Linked DNA regions of Arabidopsis thaliana. The protein of the gene in region 3 purifies or fractionates together with the protein of the main gene of each other region. This does not show direct contact. Each region holds a gene or a part of one and is shown on either strand. Other genes may lie near its edges.

Evidence for each region.
Region 1: the proteins of WIN1 (region 3) and IMD1 fractionate together in Arabidopsis thaliana (co-fractionation; one large-scale study listed by BioGRID). This does not show direct contact.
Region 2: the proteins of WIN1 (region 3) and IMD3 fractionate together in Arabidopsis thaliana (co-fractionation; one large-scale study listed by BioGRID). This does not show direct contact.

What each region holds. Positions count from the first base shown.
Region 1 is NC_003076.8:4,572,569-4,580,026, forward strand, and holds IMD1 (isopropylmalate dehydrogenase 1), read left to right. Parts: upstream 1-3,554; 5' UTR 3,555-3,651; coding exon 3,652-3,880; intron 3,881-3,967; coding exon 3,968-4,097; intron 4,098-4,177; coding exon 4,178-4,289; intron 4,290-4,373; coding exon 4,374-4,538; intron 4,539-4,615; coding exon 4,616-4,702; intron 4,703-4,780; coding exon 4,781-4,897; coding exon of another isoform or gene 4,898-4,899; intron 4,900-4,986; coding exon 4,987-5,094; intron 5,095-5,175; coding exon 5,176-5,382; coding exon of another isoform or gene 5,383-5,394; exon of another isoform or gene 5,395-5,468; coding exon 5,469-5,543; 3' UTR 5,544-5,834; downstream 5,835-7,458. Other genes in the region: MPL1 (Myzus persicae-induced lipase 1), read right to left, coding at 2-112, 210-350, 1,424-1,543, 1,645-1,845; AT5G14210 (Leucine-rich repeat protein kinase family protein), read right to left, coding at 5,935-6,159, 6,257-6,368, 6,446-6,471, 6,576-7,124, 7,209-7,342, 7,432-7,458. UniProt on the Arabidopsis thaliana protein: Involved in both glucosinolate and leucine biosynthesis; catalyzes the oxidative decarboxylation step in both leucine biosynthesis (primary metabolism) and methionine chain elongation of glucosinolates (specialized metabolism).
Region 2 is NC_003070.9:11,141,015-11,148,015, reverse strand, and holds IMD3 (isopropylmalate dehydrogenase 3), read left to right. Parts: upstream 1-3,298; 5' UTR 3,299-3,353; coding exon 3,354-3,748; intron 3,749-3,817; coding exon 3,818-3,929; intron 3,930-4,000; coding exon 4,001-4,165; intron 4,166-4,239; coding exon 4,240-4,326; intron 4,327-4,405; coding exon 4,406-4,522; intron 4,523-4,618; coding exon 4,619-4,726; intron 4,727-4,810; coding exon 4,811-5,017; intron 5,018-5,104; coding exon 5,105-5,173; 3' UTR 5,174-5,555; downstream 5,556-7,001. Other genes in the region: PP2-A9 (phloem protein 2-A9), read left to right, coding at 698-1,093; IMPL1 (myo-inositol monophosphatase like 1), read right to left, coding at 1,216-1,314, 1,405-1,506, 1,593-1,805, 1,898-1,950, 2,016-2,073, 2,174-2,262, 2,361-2,494, 2,605-2,672 and 1 more.
Region 3 is NC_003070.9:30,296,900-30,304,010, forward strand, and holds WIN1 (HOPW1-1-interacting 1), read right to left. Parts: upstream 3,760-7,111; 5' UTR 3,615-3,759; coding exon 3,201-3,614; intron 2,828-3,200; coding exon 2,393-2,827; intron 2,301-2,392; coding exon 1,776-2,300; 3' UTR 1,563-1,775; downstream 1-1,562. Other genes in the region: WRKY66 (WRKY DNA-binding protein 66), read right to left, coding at 55-257; AT1G80610 (uncharacterized protein), read right to left, coding at 4,305-4,421, 4,543-4,611, 4,704-4,766, 5,016-5,084, 6,744-7,061.

The DNA.
Region 1 (7,458 bases), on a different chromosome or scaffold from region 3:
CCAAAGAGTGTCCGAGGTAGTGAATCTTTTGGCCTGTTAGGCCATGGATATGGTCAAACATAGCAGGCAGATCGTAACTCACAAGCTCGTCCCACGTCCAGTTCCAGAAAGCCTAAGTCCACAACGTGCCAACGATGTTAAATATCAGTTTCCTTAGTAAAGATATATACGTAATCTACTGGTTAAAACAGTGGTTCACTGAACCAGACCCGTTGAGAAGGGTTAAGGTACTTGTGTCTTCTGCTGAATCTAGTCCCTCTTGTGTTCCCCATCCACACATCGAATCCTTGATCCGCCAAAATCAACGGCAGATTTTGATCCGCTGGATTCAACAGCCATGACATCCCATCCTGCACATTTAACTCATGATTATTTGACTATCATAGTAATGTAAACTATAAGAAATTAAAGGACCATGTTGTCAAAGAGACAAATTACAATTCTGCATACGTACGACTGTCGTCTCTGTCCACATAAAACTTAAAACATAAGGCAAGTCATAAAGTATTTTCTTTCTAGCAGGCTGATGAAAATAGTAGTACTGATCTCATCAAGTTTTGTACTTATGCACTTTATCGATGATTTTTAAGAATTCGATGAGTACCAGAGTCGAGAGTCGACACGGTTATTTATATAATATCACTTACGTACGGTACAATCATTCTTCCATACCAGAAAAGTTGTTTATCACTTGAGTTTATTTTAATTACCTTTCTAGTAACGCTCCAATTATCACTTTATTTGTTGGACACACATGTTTAACACTCATGCTGTCTCTTTATTTAATGTTTTAATTTTACCACCACTAAGATAACACATATGCACATTCTTTATCAAAAAAAGATACAGACATTAATCTAATTAATCTTACTTGTAAGTTTCAAACTCGCACGCACATACGATATAAGGATAAATGTACATATATATATATATATATATATATATATATATATATATATATGTATGTACATACTTGTTGATGAGGCATCCACTGGAAGTATACACGTTTGGTTTTGGCCCACGTGTATATGTCTATTTATAGATGTAAATCATCTTGAAATAATATATGCACATATTCTCCATTTGTATAACTTCTGAAAACGGGTATAAAATGTTCTCCTAATAATGTTTTTCTCACTATCCCTTGACGTCACTTTCCACTTTTTCTTACTTTCAAAAATTTATGTAATGGAAAACAGCTTCAATGTAGTAATCAGATATTCCGAGTGCGATGCAGTGGTTTAATTACAGCTATATATGTTTTTAATAATAGACTTTGTAGTTTGGATGTATTTCATGCATGTTGGAACAAAGTTTGATATTATCACAATAATTATCTGCACATAAAAGTAGCATGCGTGTGTATACACAAGTTAATTGACGGTTAAGGCGATGCAAAAAGGTAAGGAAGAGTAAAACTTACGACAAGAATTCCATGTTGTATTAGGACAGGTTGTCTCTTTCCCCCATCTCCGGCGACGGCTCCGGCTCGTCCTTCCGGTATCCTTTGCATATTCAATATGTACCCATCTTGAGTCACCACCTTCATAATTTAACAATTAAAATAGCAGCTTTATCAGTTAATATATCGATGAGTAATCATCATCAATAGCTATATAGAAAAAAAAAGAATGTCGTACGTACATCATGTTCTTCGCACTTGTAACCAAATATGTGAACAGAAGAAGCGCATATGCCGCCGGCAGCAGTCCTCTGCGGTGGCTGTCCGGCAAGCCTGCCGAAGGTTCCACGAGCTTCAAGGGTCTTGAGGGAAAGAGCGAAGAAGATTAAGACAGATAAGGCTAAACCGATTGAAACGGACGGAACCATAACCGAACCGGCCATTGAGATATATATAGGGGTTATCACGTACGTTTATAGGAAAGTGAAAATGGTTTTATATAGAGAGAAGGGGTGACGGATAAGATAATAGAAAATGGAATTATTAGCTATTTATAAAAATGCAAAACCACGTTAGCAACTATGGATAGACAAAAACTTATTTAGAAAAAAAAACAATTTATGGTGTGTAAACATAAATTAAGAATTGAATCATGCACAAAAAATAAGACAAGCATTTATGAATAGTTTCTAGAAGTGGTGAATCATCCACTGCTATCGTCGATACAACATTTACTAAAGTTTCTATATATAAGTGGAGGGATGATCAGTGTGACCATGCCATGATTTCTAACTTTTTTGAGAGAGCGAGGTTATTATGATAAACATTTAAAATAATACGTGGAACTGAGATGAATGGAAAATAATCTTTATAAAAGAGAAAAAAAAAAATAGAAGATCTCATGATAATAAAAGTACTTCCATATGTTTTCAATGTGAAGAAAAGAATAGTAAAGGAGATACATCCAATAGCTTAGTCTAGAAAAGAGCTGACTAATTTTTTTTAAAAACAAGATCTCTGGTTTGTATATTTGTATCGATTACACAGCCTAGATATATAAAACACAAAACTTGATGGAGACAATTTCATATCCTATATATACACATTAATTTAATGAGTGAATAGTAATAGCAACTAGCAAGGCAATCTAAACAAAATTAAGAAAAGAAAAATGTTAAATTCCTGAGATCTATAATAACTCATAAGCAAAAAATATATTTAAAAAAATCATACAAATGTTGTAATAATATCATTTTGTTTTAATGTGGAGTGATAAAAAGAAGATAGGACGAAAGAAGAAACTGTTAAAGGCGATTGTAGATGCTGTAGGGACGGATAAATGGACTATGACATCAGTTTCCGTTACTTGTTTCTTCTCGAACTCAAAGAAGAAAGAAAAAAAAAAAAAAAATTCTACATCGGTACGCTTTCGTTTCACACCCTGCATGCACACAGTGTCCGGTAGTCAAAAATACAAAAAAAAGAAAAAAAACCTCGAGACATGCTAAATTTGGATAATGATTAATAATTTGGGGGTACACAATGTTCCAAATAATTTATATACAAAGTCTTGCTTTCATATTATTTGTGTGTCCACACTTCAACAATATAGTATTATACTATTATCCCTATCCCCTATGAAGTATGAACACACTTTTTATGATACGTATCATATTCAGAAAACATCAAAAATTGGTCATAACTCTCACGTGGTGTGGTGGATTTGCCTCGCCTTTCGTTTCTGTTTTTTGCAAATATTTAAGAATCTTTGGTCATTTAGGCTTTAATTTAGTTACTTTAAATTTATTTTTGTTATAGAAGTATTATGTTAAAAACAGTTCGTGTTCATCCTTGGACTAACCAGACGATTTGACAAAATCCGAATATCCGATCATAAAATTAAATAATCAGCCGTTATTGTTCCTCTACTACTACGTTTTAACTTTTAAGAACTTCTCCTGGTACTTTGATGGGCTATAAGAGCGGCCCAATATTTCGACTTTAAAATGGGCCAATCTTTGGTAAAGGCCCAATTATAGTGGCGCTTCTTCTTCTTCTTTTCCTAAACAAGCAATGGCATGGTTTAGCTGGTGAGCCAGTTTATAGGTAAAAAGGATAATTTAAGCCATTTAAAAAAACAAATCTTTAATGGCGTAATTCAAAAAACGTGCACACCTATCTAAGTACCAAACTCTTTATGTTATATAACTATTGTGACACAATTTCAAATTTGCTAACTCCCAAAAAAAATGGCGGCGTTTTTGCAAACGAACATCAGTCTGAATGCGATCAAGATCGTCCCGGGGAAATACAGTTCTCTCACCGATCATCAGTTTCGTGCGCCGTATCGAATTAGGTGCGCCGCCGCTTCACCTGGGAAAAAACGGTATAACATCGCTCTGCTTCCCGGAGACGGTATCGGTCCAGAAGTTATCTCTGTTGCTAAGAATGTGCTTCAGAAAGCTGGATCTCTCGAAGGTTCTTTCTCTTTCTCAATGGTTTTTGGAAACAACGAGTGTGTTTGCTTAGCCAGTAGATGATTGTGTCTTTGCTTTTGTATCACAGGACTGGAGTTTGATTTCAAGGAGATGCCTGTCGGAGGAGCAGCCTTGGATTTGGTTGGAGTTCCATTGCCGGAGGAAACTTTCACGGCTGCAAAACTATCTGATGCCATTCTTCTTGGAGCTATTGGAGGGTATGTGTGTGAGTGCTGTTTCTTTAGCAATCTGCTTCCAAATTTATTCTGATCTTGAGGTTTGGATGATTATTGTTCAGGTACAAATGGGACAAGAATGAGAAACATCTGAGACCTGAGATGGCTCTGTTTTACCTTAGAAGAGATCTCAAAGTCTTTGCTAATTTGAGACCTGCTACAGTTTTGCCACAGGTATCTTCGGTTTTGATTTGCTTAGCACTTGAATTTTGCTTCTAGTTGTAAATAAACTCAAATGTTTCTGTTTTGCTTGTTCAGCTAGTTGATGCTTCCACACTGAAGAAAGAAGTAGCAGAAGGTGTTGATATGATGATTGTTAGGGAGCTCACAGGAGGTATTTACTTTGGAGAGCCAAGAGGCATTACGATCAATGAAAATGGCGAAGAAGTCGGCGTTAGTACAGAGATCTACGCTGCTCACGAGGTAATAACCCTTCACACTGTGCTCTGTGACAATATTGGCAATGTATGGATATTAATGCATTGATTTATGTTCTTCAGATTGACAGAATTGCTCGTGTAGCATTCGAGACTGCTAGGAAAAGGCGTGGCAAACTTTGTTCTGTTGACAAAGCCAATGTGTTGGATGTACGTTCTGTTAGTTCACTGAATTGTTTTTCCACTTTTGTGTGTTTTACGAAATGCAAATTTCTTTGTTTCATGTAGGCATCAATATTGTGGAGGAAAAGAGTAACAGCTTTAGCCTCTGAATATCCAGATGTTGAACTATCACATATGTATGTCGATAATGCTGCAATGCAGCTTATTCGTGACCCGAAACAGGTGCTTCTCGCACATATATCAAACTTAGTCGTTGATTAAGCTAACTCAGAAGTGGAACTAGTACTCACGGTGTTTTTAAAACAATGCAGTTTGACACAATCGTTACCAATAACATTTTTGGTGATATATTGTCTGATGAAGCTTCAATGATCACTGGAAGCATTGGAATGCTTCCATCTGCTAGTCTCGGTGAATCGGTAAACAAAATTAACTAACATCTTTCAAGGCTCCTCCTGTTTATAAACTAATGCGAAATGTTAAACTTGTGATGAAATCAGGGACCTGGACTCTTTGAACCTATACATGGTTCAGCACCAGATATAGCTGGACAAGACAAGGCAAACCCATTGGCCACCATTCTCAGCGCGGCGATGCTTCTGAAGTATGGACTTGGAGAAGAAAAGGCTGCAAAGAGGATTGAAGACGCTGTCGTGGATGCTCTGAACAAAGGGTTCAGAACCGGAGACATCTACTCCCCTGGAAATGTATGTGCATGATGATTCTTATCATTTGTTTTGTACAAGTTCGTAACAAAATACTTAAAAAAGTCTTTTGTGTTTTGAAAATGCAGAAACTGGTGGGATGCAAGGAAATGGGTGAGGAGGTTCTCAAATCAGTGGAATCCAAAGTTCCAGCTACTGTTTAAGTTTATTGATGATTTGAAGCACTTGAAAAAGTTTGTGTAGCACTTGGTTTTACGGTCACTTATATGCTAATCCATGCAACATTGTACCTTTTATAATAAATAAATTATTTGGGATCGATTCTGCAATTCAAAGACAAGATTCTCCAAAAACATTTGACAGGTCTCCTGCCTTTACTTACCTTGTTCTTGAAGATTGAGAATTTCTCTTCAACTACAAGACTCAATATCTTCTTCAATCAATATTTGTTTAACGAAATAAGTTTCAAGAGAAGACAAGCTACTATGATTTTTAGTCTCAAGAGTCTTACATTTTTATACTGAAAACCAAACTTATAGAGCTTTACATTTAGAAAACCGAAAAAACTATCAATCATTAGGTTAGCCTTTGGATTCACGACGACGTATCAGATTTGCGTTCAGCGTCTGCGGCAGACTGCATTTGAGCTGCGTATTGTAAGTTCCAGAGAACATCTTCAAAGGAAGGTCTTGCGGAAGGTTCAAGCAAAACACATTTATTGGCGATTGAGATCGCAATCGATAAAGACTCCTGCGAGCTTGTTGTTAGGACTGTTGGACTTACTATTTTCTGCCGACCGTCTTGGCTCCCAAATGATGTCTGCAAACACAACATTGCAGCAACAGCTATTAACCAAATTTGTTTCAATCAAATAACAATGATGATGCTTTTTTTTTTTGCTTTTTCTCTTTGTTACCATTTCGTTGAGAAGAAAAGCCTCTCCTTTTGTAGTGGGCACTGGTCCTATCAGAGATTCCAGAAGTATGAATCCGAAGTTGTACACATCGTCCTCTCTTTTAGCCTTTTTCCTGCATAATCTCAAAGTTTGGATTAGATTCTCATAAATGCCATGGAGTTTTGCTATACAAGGACAAAAGATGCATACTTTGACTTGTGGGTTTCTGACTTTGTCTGCAAAATGTAGAAGCAGGAGTAAAGTAGAGTCCTGAGTTAGTGTCAAAGAAGATCATACAAAATGAAGATAAACACAGTGAAAGAGAGTAAATAGAGCAAACCTCAAGCTTTTCGTTCTCTTCAATGATGGCAGAGACTCCATAGTCACTGAGCTTTGCAATCTTGTGTTCGTCAAGCAAAATATTGTTAGTCTTAAGCTGATTGTTGAATGAACCAGGCATTACACCGGTGTGAAGAAAATGAACTGCCTTTGCTATCTCAATCAGAATTGCTAGCCGATCTGGCCATGTCAGGATCTTCTCCGAGAAAGATTCTACAAATAAACAATATTCTAACAACAACGATTTTCCAAGTACAGAGAGATTCAGTATAACATTTAGTTTACTACAAATGCCAAACGACTGACCTGATAGATGTGTGCGATAGCTCCCGTTGGGCATATACTCGTATACAAGGTAGAGTATGGTTGCAACAGGATCGTGTTCTCCGCTGGTTTGCGTACAATGGCCCAAGAAGCCAAGGAGATGAGGATGGTTGAGCTTTGCCATCCAGTCTAAGTGACCTCTGATACTCTGGCTGGAGAATTTCCTTGATAAAACCAGACATCTGATAGCTATGGAACTTCCATTTTCCAGTGTTCCTCTGTATAGCTGCAAAGGATCAAAACAAGCAGAGTAAAGCAAATGACAGATAGGCAGATCACAAGAATTAATCTTGCAGAAGACAAACCATACCTTTCCAAGGGAGCCTTCACCTAAGAAACGTGATGAATCAAAATCGTCTGTGGCTTCCTTTAAATCTTCAAAAGAAAAGGACCGGCATGAGGGCACACCCTGTGCACCTAGCTTTGCTGTTTGAGAGATTAACCCTGCAAGACGAAATCATACAAGGATATTAAATCCCTGAAAGACAATTCCTAGCAGGAATAGTCTACATTTTGAGTCAAAAGTTACTCACTTGCACTAGCAAGAACTTCAGAGGAGA
Region 2 (7,001 bases), about 19 Mb from region 3:
AGAAAATGGAAAAAAGAGAAGGAAAGAATAAGCTTGGCACTTGAAGAAAATTTATGTCATTTAATTGCTCTGTTTGATTCTCAGATTCTTTATTCACATTAAGACCAACAAGTTGTGGATATATGCTTTCCCTCTCGTTGGCCGTTGAAGCATTTTTATTAACTTTGTCCCTCCAACGAAAGAAAAGTCAGGATTTTGTGTAAATTACTTATTTTTCCTTCTTCTGTCACAATCTTACTTTGAATTTTTGACATGAGAAAATAAATACTCTACATAAAGCTCATTTCGAGAGATATGGTTTTGTTATTTCTCTACTGTAAAAAAGGCAAATCAAGAAATGTCTTCACAAAAGAGTTCGCATCATAAGGCAGACTCCAAAATGGAACAAGATGTGAGTTTCTTTTCTTTGCTATTGAAGATAATTTGCAACATCTTTTTAAATGAAATCACCAAACTTTGATTAAAAATGTTTTATCTTGCTTTTGTATTTTCCTTGTTAAATTCTGCAGAACAATAGAAAAGCATGGATTTCACAACCGAGTGGTCTTAACTTTGTTTGGGGAGGTGACTCGAGATATTGGGTTATCCCTAAAGAACCAAGGTATCATCCGATTCATTCCGACTTAACCGATAAACCCAACTTTGGTTTACTGATACCAAAAATCTTAAACTGATTCATTTGATTGTTGGTTTTAGGATGCCTGCTGAGCTGAAGATGGTGAGTTGGTTAGAAGTAACCGGTTCATTCGACAAGATTGAACCCGGGAAAACATATCGAATCGGTTTTAAAATCTCGTTTAAACCGGATGCGACCGGTTGGGACAAAGCCCCTGTTTTCATGTCTGCTAAAATCGGGAAGAAAGGCAAGACAGTGTGGAAAAGAATCAAATCCGTTAGCCAGAACTTTGGTATACTGAAAGGTGGATCAGAACCCGTCAATATACCTGACGAGTCCGATGGCCTGTTTGAAATCTTGGTTAGTCCCACAGCGCTTAACCAAGATACTAAGCTTCAGTTTGGTCTGTATGAGGTGTGGACTGGACGATGGAAGACAGGTCTGTTGATCCACGAAGCCTTTGTTCAAGAAGTGTAAGGGGGAATATGATCATTATTGATTTTCATAATCCGAACGCAAATCTTATACCTCGTTTCAGTTCAAATATAAGAGCTTTAGATCATAACAATGTAATCTTATATACCTTTCTTGAACAAGTCTTAAAGCTCTGTATGATAATCTTCCGGTTTGAACCATAACGAGAAATCGATTCCTTTCGACTTCAAATTCTCAGTTGCGGGTGCAATTCTTTCCAGAAGCTACACCGATTAAACAAAAAATATGTGAGACCTGATCTCTAAGCACAACAGATTAAAAGCATTGATAAAAGTATGAACAGTTCATGAAACCTTGGGGTGAAGAACGCCGTTGGAGACCAAAACAGACCTATCAAACACAGAAAACTTCCCTCCGTCCATCCGAGTCACAGCTCCTCCAGCTTCCTCAACTATCTGTGTCCATTTTCTGACATGGATTAAGCTCTACAACTTAAGTACTTTAGTAAGAAAAAAACAACAAGAAGGATGAAGAAGACTACAAGAACACCAGCAGCCATGTCCCATGGCTTTAAACGGTACTCCCAATATGATTCCGCAATCCCAAGTGCAACATGACACATGTCAACTGCAGCAGCACCGAGTCTTCGCACTCCCCGACTCACATCAGTAAACTCTTTGAACAGTTCCATGTTAGTGCTCCATGCATCATCATGTTCATAACCAAACCCTGTGATAAGAAGTGCTCTCTCCACCTTCATTCAAACCCGAATAAATATCTAATAAACCAAAACCATTGAACACACCATGTCGAAACTTAAAATTGGATTCTTGATAAGTTACTTACAGCATCGGTCTTACTGACATGAATTTTTTGCCCGTTACACAATGCTCCACCACCTAAGAAGTGAACTAGTTAGACAAAATTTAGATATATAGCCAAACATAAGCTTGTCACATAGTACCTGCAGTTGCAGAAAAGGTTCGAGTGTTCCAGCACATCGGACCACCGACAAACTCTACCTGCATGATGAGATTTTGTTGTTAATCCTACTGACCAAAGAATCAGCAAATAGGAACTAACAAGCATTAGCTGGTTTGTGCAAGTATATATTGGATTTACCACAGAAGCAGCGGCGGGATTTCCACGATACAGAACACCGACGGAAACAGCAAAACTGGGATATCCATGAGCAAAATTTGTAGTTCCATCTATGCATAAAGGAATTAAGAGACTAATACTAAAAATCTCAGAGATTCCACACAAACACATGAAAAGAAAGCAATGAGATTTGTAAAGAGAGCTAAACCTAGAGGATCAATGCACCAGAGGTAATCAGAAGACGAATCGCCGATGATACCTCCTTCTTCACCAAGAATAAGATGATCACTAAAATTCTTCTTCACTACTTCCAAAATAGCAGCCTCGCTTGCTTTATCAGTACTGCAAATTCATCAAAAGTACTAAAACTTTAATAGCTTCAACCAATCAAGTCAACATGAACATAGTTAAAACCTCAAGCTAACAATTTTAAAAGGTGAAGAAGTCCTTACTCAGTTACTAAGTCACTGAGACCTTTATAAGTAATATTCCTTGGCTTATTTACAGCTTCCATAACCACCTAACAAACCAGATGATTCAATTCAAGTTAGTTTTGTTATTATTCTCCTTGTGCAGTTGTGCCCTACGAACCCAAGAACTTGATTCTAGTACCATTGAACACAATTTCAAGTCTCATCAAGAGTTTTTGTTTCCAATAAACATAAATTCAGATATTGTATTCTACAGACATGAAATTTCGAACCTCAGCGCCGGTTTTAGCGGCGAGTTCAACGACTTCAAGGAGGTGTGCCGGAGATATAGTTCCGGTGGTTTTAGCGCCGATTCTGGGATATCGCGTCTGATCAGAAACCTCAGACAGAACAGCTTTGGTTTGAAGTCTCGTTGTGGACTTGAAGCTATTAGACAAAATCCTCGTACACCGATATCGGAAAGTTCTGTTCACTGTCCGGCCTGAAATTGGGTTTTGCAGCGGAAGAGATGATCTGGGTAAGTGAGAGATTCTCAATGACATGTTTCCAGAGAATATTAGAGACCTTCCCATTGTTGGTGTCGCCGGAGAATTTTCGAATTTTTGTTGTTGTTCGGTTTTTGGTTTATATGAACGCGGCCAAGTGAACGGATGGTGGACATGAGAGAGTCCAAAAAGCTGATAGAACTTAAAATTGAAATTAATGAGAACATTGAACCAAAATCAGGTTAACAAATAACCAGAGATAACCGGTCTCTGTAGTATACTCAAATGGTTAGTTTTTGCCGATGGTGGTGCCCTAAACTCGAAAAAAAGATGGCGGCGTTTTTGCAAACTAACATCCGTCTGGAGATCATACCGGGAAGATACAGTTCTCTCACCGATCATAAGTTTCGTGCGCCGTATCGAATTAGGTGCGCCGCCGCTTCACCGGTGAAAAAACGGTATAACATCACTCTGCTTCCCGGCGATGGTATCGGTCCAGAAGTTATATCTGTTGCTAAGAATGTGCTTCAGAAAGCTGGATTTCTCCAAGGACTAGAGTTTGATTTCCAGGAGATGCCTTTCGGCGGAGCAGCTTTGGATTTGGTCGGAGTTCCATTGCCGGAGGAAACTTCCACTGCTGCTAAACAGTCTGATGCCATTCTTCTTGGAGCTATCGGAGGGTATGTGTAATGCGTGTGTGTGTTGTTTCTTCAGCAAATTTATTCTCTTTATGATGATTTTTTGTTCAGGTACAAATGGGACAAGAATGAGAAACATCTGAGACCTGAGATGGGTCTGCTTAACATTCGAAGAGATCTCAATGTCTTTGCTAATTTGAGACCTGCTACAGTTTTACCACAGGTATTGATTTGCTTATCACTTTGCTTTCTAGTTGTAAATATACTCAAATTTTTCTGTTTTTGCTTGTTCAGCTAGTTGATGCTTCCACACTGAAGAAAGAAGTAGCACAAGGTGTTGATATGATGATTGTAAGGGAGCTCACTGGAGGTATTTACTTTGGAGAGCCAAGAGGCATTACGATCAACGAAAATGGCGAAGAAGTCGGTTTTAATACAGAGATCTACGCTGCTCACGAGGTACTACTTACTCTTCACAATCTGCTGCTCTGTGACAATGTATGTGTATTAATGCATTGCTTTATCTTCTTCAGATTGACAGAATTGCTCGTGTTGCATTCGAGACTGCTAGGAAAAGGCGTGGCAAGCTGTGTTCTGTTGACAAAGCCAATGTCTTGGATGTATGTTTTGAATTGTTTTTCCACTCCACTCTTGTGTGTTTTTCGTTATACAATTATTTTTTTGTTTTGTTTCGTATAGGCATCAATATTGTGGAGGAAAAGAGTAACAGCTTTAGCCTCTGAATATCCAGATGTTGAACTATCACATATGTATGTCGATAATGCTGCGATGCAGCTTGTCCGTGACCCGAAACAGGTGATCTTCGCGCATATATAAAGCTTAGCCGTTGATTAAGCTAACACAGAAGTGGAACTTGTAGTACTCACGGCATTTTTAAAAACATTATTGCAGTTTGACACAATCGTCACCAATAACATTTTTGGTGATATATTGTCTGATGAAGCTTCAATGATCACTGGTAGCATTGGGATGCTTCCATCTGCAAGTCTTGGTGAATCGGTAAGTAAGACTAAATCTAATATTTCAAGGTTCCTCTGTTTATTATTATCATATATTGATTGTTAAACTTGTGATGAAAACTAGGGACCTGGACTCTTTGAACCTATACATGGTTCAGCACCAGATATAGCTGGACAAGACAAGGCAAACCCATTGGCCACCATTCTCAGTGCGGCGATGCTTCTCAAGTATGGACTTGGAGAAGAAAAGGCTGCAAAGATGATTGAAGACGCGGTCGTGGATGCTCTGAACAAAGGTTTCAGAACCGGAGACATCTACTCCCCCGGAAATGTATGTGTATGATGATTTCTGTCTTTTGTTTTGTATAAGTTAATGACAATATACTTAAAGAAGTCTTTTTGTGTTTTGAAAATGCAGAAACTGGTGGGATGCAAGGAAATGGGTGAGGAGGTTCTCAAATCAGTGGACTCCAAAGTTCCTGTTTAAGAAAAGTGTGTAGCCCTTGGTTTTACTGTTACTTTTTTGCTAATACATGTATTAGAAACTGTATTCTTGTAGCTTTTATAATAATAAAATATTTGGGATCGATTCTGCAATTCAAAGACAAAATTCTCCAAGAACATTTGACAAGTCTCCTGCCTCAGTACCTTGTTCTTGAAGATTGAGAAGTTCTCGCCAACTACAAAACTCAACATCTTCTTCAATCAATATTTGTTAAACGAATAAAGTTTCAAGAGAGACAAGAAACTATGTTTTTTAGCCGCTAGAGTATTACATTTTTCTACTGAAAAACCAAACTTATAAAACATAACATTTATAAATCCGAAAACAACTATCAATCATCAGGTTAGCCTTTGGATTCACGACGACTTATCAGATTTGCGTTCAGCGTCTGCGGCAGACTGCATTTGAGCTGCATATGGTAAGTTCCAGAGAACATCTTTAAAGGAAGTCTTGCAGAAGGTTCAAGCAAAACACATTTATTGGCGATTGAGATGGCAATTGGGTAAAGACTCCTGCGAGCTTGTTGTTAGGACCGTTGGACTTCCTATTTTCTGTCGACAGTCTTGGCTCCCAAATGACGTCTGCAAATACAACATTGCAGCAACAGCTATTAACAATGATGAAGATTTGCTTCTTTTCTTTACCCTATATGATACCATTTCGTTGAGAAGATAGGCCTCTCCTTTTTGTAGTAGGTACTGGTCCTATCAGAGATTCCAGAAGTATGAATCCAAAGTTGTACACATCGCCCTCTGTTTTAGCCATTTTCCTGCATAATTCCAAAGCTAAGAAACGTGATGAATCGAAATCGTCTGTGGCTTCCTTTAACTCTTCAAAAGAAAATGACCGGAATGAGGGCACACCTTGTGCACCTAGCTTTGCTGCTTGAGAGATTAACCCTGCAAGACGAAGTCGTACAAGGATATTAAATTCCTGAAAGACAATTGCCACCAGGCGGAGGTCTACAATTTGAGTCAAAGTTACTCACTTGCACTAGCAAGAACTTCGGAGGAGAGACTGGTGTGTGAGTTATCTCTGTCACAACCTTAAGCCGAGTTTGAGGCACTGACCTTTCTCTTGAACAACAGCAAGAGCAGCGGTTTATACACACAAGAACAAATACATCTCCACCAAGGACAGCAACCAAAATCCCAATCTTTCTTCCTTGGAACTGTTTTCCCTCAGTTTCAGCCTCTTCGATTACGAATTCTTGATGCTGATCATGACTGCCAATAATGGAAAAGAAACGGGGAGGGGTCCCAATTAATCTGTTATTCGACAAATCCAAGTTTGCCTCCACAGGTCAGATTATGCTGTAGCTTCCCACTGAGCTTGTTAGATGCAAAGTCTAAGTAACTAATGTTTGGCAAAGAGAACAAGAACCGAGATGAAGTTCCAGTCAGATGATTGAACGTCAAGTCAAGATGCTGAAGCTGAGACAAACAACCAAAACTTCTGGTAGTAACCAATAGACCTGAGGCTGTTGATTGATCACACTCGAAACCTCATTGAATCTAACATCTTACACAAAAACAGAAACAGCCTTATTTCTGAATCCAACAACAGCTGCCAAAACTTGAAAGTAGCTAACAAAAGGAAATGATTCCACCACAATGGCTCCTGCTTCAGTTCAGAGCAGCTTATAGAAATCTGAATAACGGATTCTTGATTACACAATTCATTATACCAAAACCATATAAAGGATTACTACAGATTCAACAAAAATTCACAACCTTCCTTAAATCATTCTTCTGCCATTTGATGATGAACATATTCAAATTCCCAGAAATATCCATCCTTACTATCTCCA
Region 3 (7,111 bases):
TAGACCAAAACAGGTGTGTGTTTTCTACTTGATTTAGAGTTTTTAATAATTTACTTCTTTGATGATCTTTGAGACACATGACGTGGTATGTTCTGAGAAGACAGAGCAAACGAGAAAGAATCAAGAATGGAGTTGATGAGTGGCTCTGTTGAAACTGAGCCTGTTTCATGGTTTTTGAGGAGCGTCTTGAGATTGTTAGCGCATCCTTGGCCAAGGAGGAGTGCTGAGACAGCCTTCGCATCAATCTCAAGAGACATATTTTCTGTTTAGGATAATTCAGGTTAATCTGTTATTAGTTTATATAGAGATCAGCAAAGGTTTCTACTTCTAGAGACATAAAACATTGTTTTCTTTTTAAAAAAAGAAAGTGGAAAGTGTAGCCTTATCGAATAAACTATCCACAAAATGTGTAAAGTGTAAACGCAATAAAAGTAACTTGGCGCCATCAATGTTGACATTTGGTAATTCACAAACGTGTGACGAGACGACGTAGTTGGAAGGTCTTGTGCGATTGTTAGCCTTTAAACAATCAATAACATTAACAAGTTAAGGGACACTTCAAAGTAGCCAGACAGCTTGAGGTCAAGTCTAACTAAGGAAGGCACCTTCCTCTCACCTAATCCAACAGACTAATTATATTTAATACACATCTTGGTCTGTTGGACATGAATCCCATGGAATATCTCTAGGTAGTTATTAACCTGGATATAGAAGCTGGGTGCATAAATCATTGGATCATGCTTTTTGATGAATAGTGAACCATAGGACTTGTTTCTACAGAAGAACTTAGGAACTTGGTATTATATAGTGTAGCTGAAACTGAAAGCTACAAGATTTGAATAAGTAAGTTCTACATATACACTAACACAGTCATACATACATGTGTGTGTGCGTCAATGTGTGATCCCATAAGTTCCGCTTTGTAGCATTACAATTTTGGTCTTCCGTAGAAGCCGCAACGATTGTAACACCTCGCAATTCATGATTATCAATAATTTCAGCTAATAACCATGTATTAGGCAAGTGTCCGCCACAAAAACAGAGAAGAACAATAACTCTGTTCGTTAACGTTAGCCATAAAACAGACCGTAACAAATAGCGAAGCAGAGCATGTGCTCTGTTTTTTTGCTTTGTACTCATTACTAACCTTATAGGAAATCTTCTCTTGCTACACCTGTTTATTTTCATCAATGCTAATACTATATTACATACCAAAACCCTACCCCTGCAACAGTAAAGAACTCCTAATGGCATTATTAACACAGACATAGTGAGAAATCATCCTAAGACCCTCAAAAATCAATCATCTGTAATTAATTAACAGAACTAAACGCCAAAATTCTCGACATTAGTTCAGGATCGCCTAAGGCCCTAATTATCATTTTTTAAATTAGACCCCTAAGATTCTTGGTTGCGACCAATGCATACACTGCCGATAAATTGGATTCACGTCTTTCCAATGCTGGTTCGTTGGATACTCTACCAATATTTCTATCACCGTTATCATCTATGTGCTCTGATTCCTCACGCAGCTCATAACCAGCATGCTATAACGCAAGACGGAAACAATCGCGATAGAGACGTCATCGAACCAACCATGGAAATTATACAAGTATTTAGATTGAACAATTAGTTCATCAAGTTTTGTGTCAAATTTTATTTCTTTTCAATTGTGCAGAGCATCTTTACCGGTACACTTGAGGCTAATTTAAGACAAGATCGAATATAAAACATTAGCTCTTCTTCAACACCACATCATTTCTCTTCCAAGAACTTCAATCAAGCGCAGTCAAATTTTGAGACATGATCTCAACCGCACGTTCGATTTCCTCCTCTGATATAACCAACGGAGGAACAATCCTGACGACATTTCCTTTCCCCGCTGTCAAGATCAGAAGACCCGAATCTCGGCAAGCATCAACCAGTGAGCTTGCCGGCACATCGAGCTCCACTCCTATGATAAGCCCTTCGCCTCTCACTTCCTTCACGTGCGAGTTTCCTCCAAGTTTTTTCACCAACAGGTCTCTAAAGTATCGACCTTTATTTGAGACACTGGACAAGAAAGAGGGTTTCGATACTTTATCCATAACTGCAATGGCTGCACTGCACACAAGAGGGCTGCCTGCAAATGTACTTCCATGATCTCCGTAGTTTATGGTCTCTGCAACCTTTTCAGTCACCAGCACCGCTCCAATAGGTAAACCACCAGCTAAAGGCTTTGCAACCGTCATTATGTCAGGAGTCACACCGAAGGCTTCATAAGCCCACATGAGACCCGTTCGACCCAAACCACATTGAACCTGGGACAATGAACCCAGTTGAGGCAAGACCAATCAAAAAACAGAAACAAAGAAAGAAAATAAAATTTTGGATGGACGGTAGAGTATATTACCTCATCGAAGACGAGAAGAGATCCAGCGGCATCACAAGCAGAGCGCAGAGATTGCAGAAACTCTTTTGTAGCAGAGTAAATCCCGCCTTCTCCTTGAATTGGTTCCACAAAAACTGCAGCTATTTTACCTGAGCGGATAAGGTCTGTGGCTGCTTGAATGTTACCATATTCTAAGAAGGTTACACCAGGCATGATGGGTTCGAAAGGAGTTCTGTATTGTTCTTTGCTTGTCAAGGCAAGAGCTCCTAAGGTTCTTCCATGGAAGCTGTTTGTAAAGGCGATGAAACCTGTCGCGACTTCTTTGTCTTCTGGATGGGTGAATCTCTGGAATTTTCTTGAAAACTTAATGGCTGCTTCATTGGCTTCCGTTCCCGAGTTACAAAAGAATACACGGTCTGCAAAAGAACTCGCCACCAAGCGTTTTGCGAGCTCTATCTGCAGAGAAGTTCAAACATTTCAGATTTTAACAACCCATATGAAGTAGATATGAGCATAAAGGTTCCTTTTTTCGAGGAATTGGGCATTGAGGAGCATATGTACACTAAGAGTTTACAATGAGGTCAGATACTTCTCATAAAAATTTCTATAGGGAAGGCGTAGAAACAATCCAATTTGATGAAATTTCAAAGTGCAAGTACTTGTCATAGAATAATCTCGCTATTATAAGTAGAAGACTAATCCAACATTCCCTAGCATGTTTCCATAGGCCATAGCTCAATCACACAGAGGATAAAAACAACAAAAGTTTTAAGCTTTCGTCAGCCATCAACAGAATCAGTAATGCAAAAATACAGTAACGAATAAATACCTGAGGGATCGTGTAATAAACATTGCTGACATGGGCAAGAACACCAGCTTGCTCAGTGACAGCTCGAAGCCAATCAGGATCTCCATGACCAAGAGCATTCACAGCGATTCCAGATGCACAATCCAGATACTCTTTTCCTTCAGGGTCGAACAATTTACAACCTTTCCCACTCGAGAGAACCACTGGAGCTCGCGCGTAGGTACCCACAATAACTTTGGCTTCCTCTTCAATCACCTTCTGGCTCACACTCGCTTTTACCGACACCGCTTGGTCCCCTGCGTTAGTCAATACGCTCGCAATCCGGCCGTTGAATCCGATCCGGGTTCTGATGATCGGCCGCTCCAATCGACGGCGTAAGAGGCCAATCTCCGACGACGGCGCGCGTGGCAGGGTGATTTGGCTAAGAGACGCCATTTTCGTGTGTCGGGACAATAAAGAGTCGTTAAGACAAAATAGCTGAGATTAATTCTATTTCTAGGGTTTTAAGGCCAGTGATAATTTTACTACTACTGGTTTAGCTGAGCTTAATAAAGAATCTGATTAGTATCTTACTTTTTCCGTAATTACGTGTTTTTAGTATTAATGGTTTGAAATTTCTAAATTATTTATAACGATGAAAAAGAATGCAAGACTGCAGATATTTTTTAGTCCATCAATCATAATACAAAATATAGTAAAATGTTTGGAACGTGTTACACTGATTATAAATGTCGATGTAATACATCTTACCAGAGATAATAAGAAAGAACAAACAAAAAAAAAAAGGTGTACATCTATTATCTAAGTAGATAATTACATCTCATCCTAATAAAATGGGAGAAAGATAAGAATCATTTAGGAGATTGGCAGAACAAAAATCTTACTACCAGCTAAACTAGAAGATATTGTTAACACACTTAACCATAGTCTCGAACCACTTCACCTTCAGGCGAATCTTCTTCAGCTTCCACCGGGATATGGGTGAAGGATATATAGGATTAATCTACGTTCTTCATATTCATATAGTTACAGTTCAAAAAACATGTTTGTGGACGGAGGAGGTATAGTGGTATAGTGTTGTGTAATGGGAAAAACAAAAGAATGATATGCTTGTGGCTCGCCCGTTCAGCAGACAACTTCAGGGCTCGGGTCGTTATCTAGAGGCATGTTTAGGTCAGGGAGCAAGAAGGAAGAACCTTGTTCGAAAGTGAGTTTGCACGATAAGGCAGATTGTGATTCAGCCTGCATACACATGAAAATGATATACTTGAATAATTAACATGTTTATCTTCCGTATATATGATTGAATGAGTACATGTATAGAAAGATAGAGAGAGAGAGAGAGAGAGAGCGATGGGCTCACCTTCATCTTCTTTAGAGCAGTGTTTCTTGCTCTTTGTTGCTCGAGCAAATCGCGCATATTTGCCAATTCCTGATTCAAGAATAAGATTAACCAAATCTAAGATTAGAACTTGGACTTGATATATAGAGACATAAAGAAAGAGGCTAAAATGGAGGTTATACATTTTTCAGGCCGTTACTTTCCTTCAAGAGCATGATCTCTTCCTCTTTAAGCTCAGCCAAAGTCTGTCAACAATCATATATATTAATTAGAGAAATATAGGTTTGAATCGGCTAAAATGTAAAACCATATCAGTCCAAATGTAGAAAATATAAGATTGCTAGGCGTATCTTAGACAATATGCCTCAACAGATTTAAACAAACCAGTAGGTAGTAGCCTGGTCAGAGTTGCTCTATGTCTGGTCTAAAACTAGTAATATTATCTTTTAACAGTATCAGTAACTAATAGAAACACTGTCTTTCGTATTTTTTACCTTCTTCTTTCTTGATCTCTTGAAAAGGGTTGTTGTTGTTGTTGTTGTTATTGCACTCGTTTGAGAAATCTGGACATCAAAACAAAAACAATCAGATTATGGCTTAAGACACACAACACCACCAGATAAAGCCAGCTCAACAATCAATAATCACACCAAACTAATACCGTAAAAACAATTTGTTTTTGTATTGTATATCATTTCTATAAAGAAACCACACACCTACCATTCGAGAGAGACTTTAGAGGCACGATAAGTTGGAAACAAAAGAATCACTTCATCAGCATATTAACAAATAACAACTAGAACTTGGAAATCTAAAAGAAAATTCCAAATCATGTAAATTTCAGCAGTATCTTCTTGGTCAACTACTCAAAAAGAAAAAACAGAAGGGCAAATAAATAAATATATAGAAAAACATAGAAACACGTGAGTGGAGCGTGACTTGGGAGACTTTTAAATATAAAGCGTGTGTGTTTGGTCGTCACATTCACACGTCATGCTTTTCCTTGTCCTCCAACCCCAAACTAGTGTCACGTATTCTCCACACCACCACTTGTCCTTATTATCTATCATCTTTCTATTTTTATTTTATTCTACCCAAAAATTCCATTTCCTTTAGTTTGACGACTTTACTTTGGTTTTCAAATTATAACCCACCGATCAAAGTCAACTTCAAATCAGACAACAATCTTAACTAAACTTTGTAAAAAAAAAAGTAAAACAGGCTAACTCAACAAGACTGTCACCAAGAAAATCTGACGGACGAATCACAGGACCTAATCCGTTGCAACAACTGAGGACTTTGACCACTACTACTAGAGAACGAGTACATACTACTTATTGTCCACTGCGCCACATCTGATAACTGCTCTCCCCACTAAACCCTACCACACACGTACCTAATCCACTCATACTCTAATCTTAAATTCAATTCCACGAAAACGCCTCCCAAATTATAAATAACGCCAGCGATAATCTCTGGCATTGACTAATATACCCTCTATCGTGAGAAGCAGCTAACCTGGTGACAAGGGTTAATTTAGTCATTAGCTTGGTAATGATAATGAATGTGTTTATTTTTTCTCTTTAGCATTGAAGTCTACAACGCTGATTTGACCCAGAAGACCTCTCCCCTCTCCCTTGATGTGAGGGCTTTGTGGTCTTTCCGCAAAGCAGCATAGAGAGAGAGAGAGAAAGATGACTGAGATGCACAAAAGTGGGAAAACGTGACTCTTTTGTTGCCAAAAGAAAAGAGCAAAAAGCAGAGATCACCGAATTTATCACCTGTTTGTTTGAAACTCAAAAACAATCTAACAAGTGTTTCCAAGAAGACAACAAAAGAAATCGAGAAAGATAGATTGAGTTTCTTGGAAAAGAAAAGACTAAAAACATCATTGCCTAAATTGGAGTTGTGTCCACGCTGGGGGTATTTCGGTCAACGAAAAGTCGGTGTACCTACATGATCAGCTTAAGAACACGATCGTGGATCCTAAAATGACCAAAATACCCACAAGCTACCAACTGAAATGTCAAGGGCGTACTCGGTAGTAGATCAGCCCAAACCACAACAAAGACGCTTAAAATTACGTTTTTAAAAACTAAAATCATGACAGTGCAAAACGCCGCATCACGAGGGCTATAGCAGAAAACAAGACCTACGAGATATGACCGTCGCGGAGTTTCAAATCGGATAAACAAAAAAATGAGTGAAATGATCGGACAAACCTTAGATCTAAATGGCTCAGAGGGTTTTACGGCGGCGCTAGACTCCTCGAGGCCTTCCATGGTGGTAGCACCGGCGCCGCTTCCACCGCTGCCGCCTCCGCCGCTAAGAGACGTGGCACCGCTCCAGGAAAGCGGTGTGGTGGGGCTTGCTCGCGTCTGGTCTCCTTTCTTCGATCTCCGTTGACGCACGCTCCATTTCAGCTTGAGAGGGGACGCGTCGACTCTATTCTTCGGTTCGGAGTGGCGGAGCCGAAGAAGCGCCTCCGCCACCATGGAATCGTCAGACATGGCCACTCGAATCCAGTTTTCGCCGGACATAGTCGCAACTCAAAGAGAGAGAGGAGAGATGGGAGAGATGGTGGCGAAAA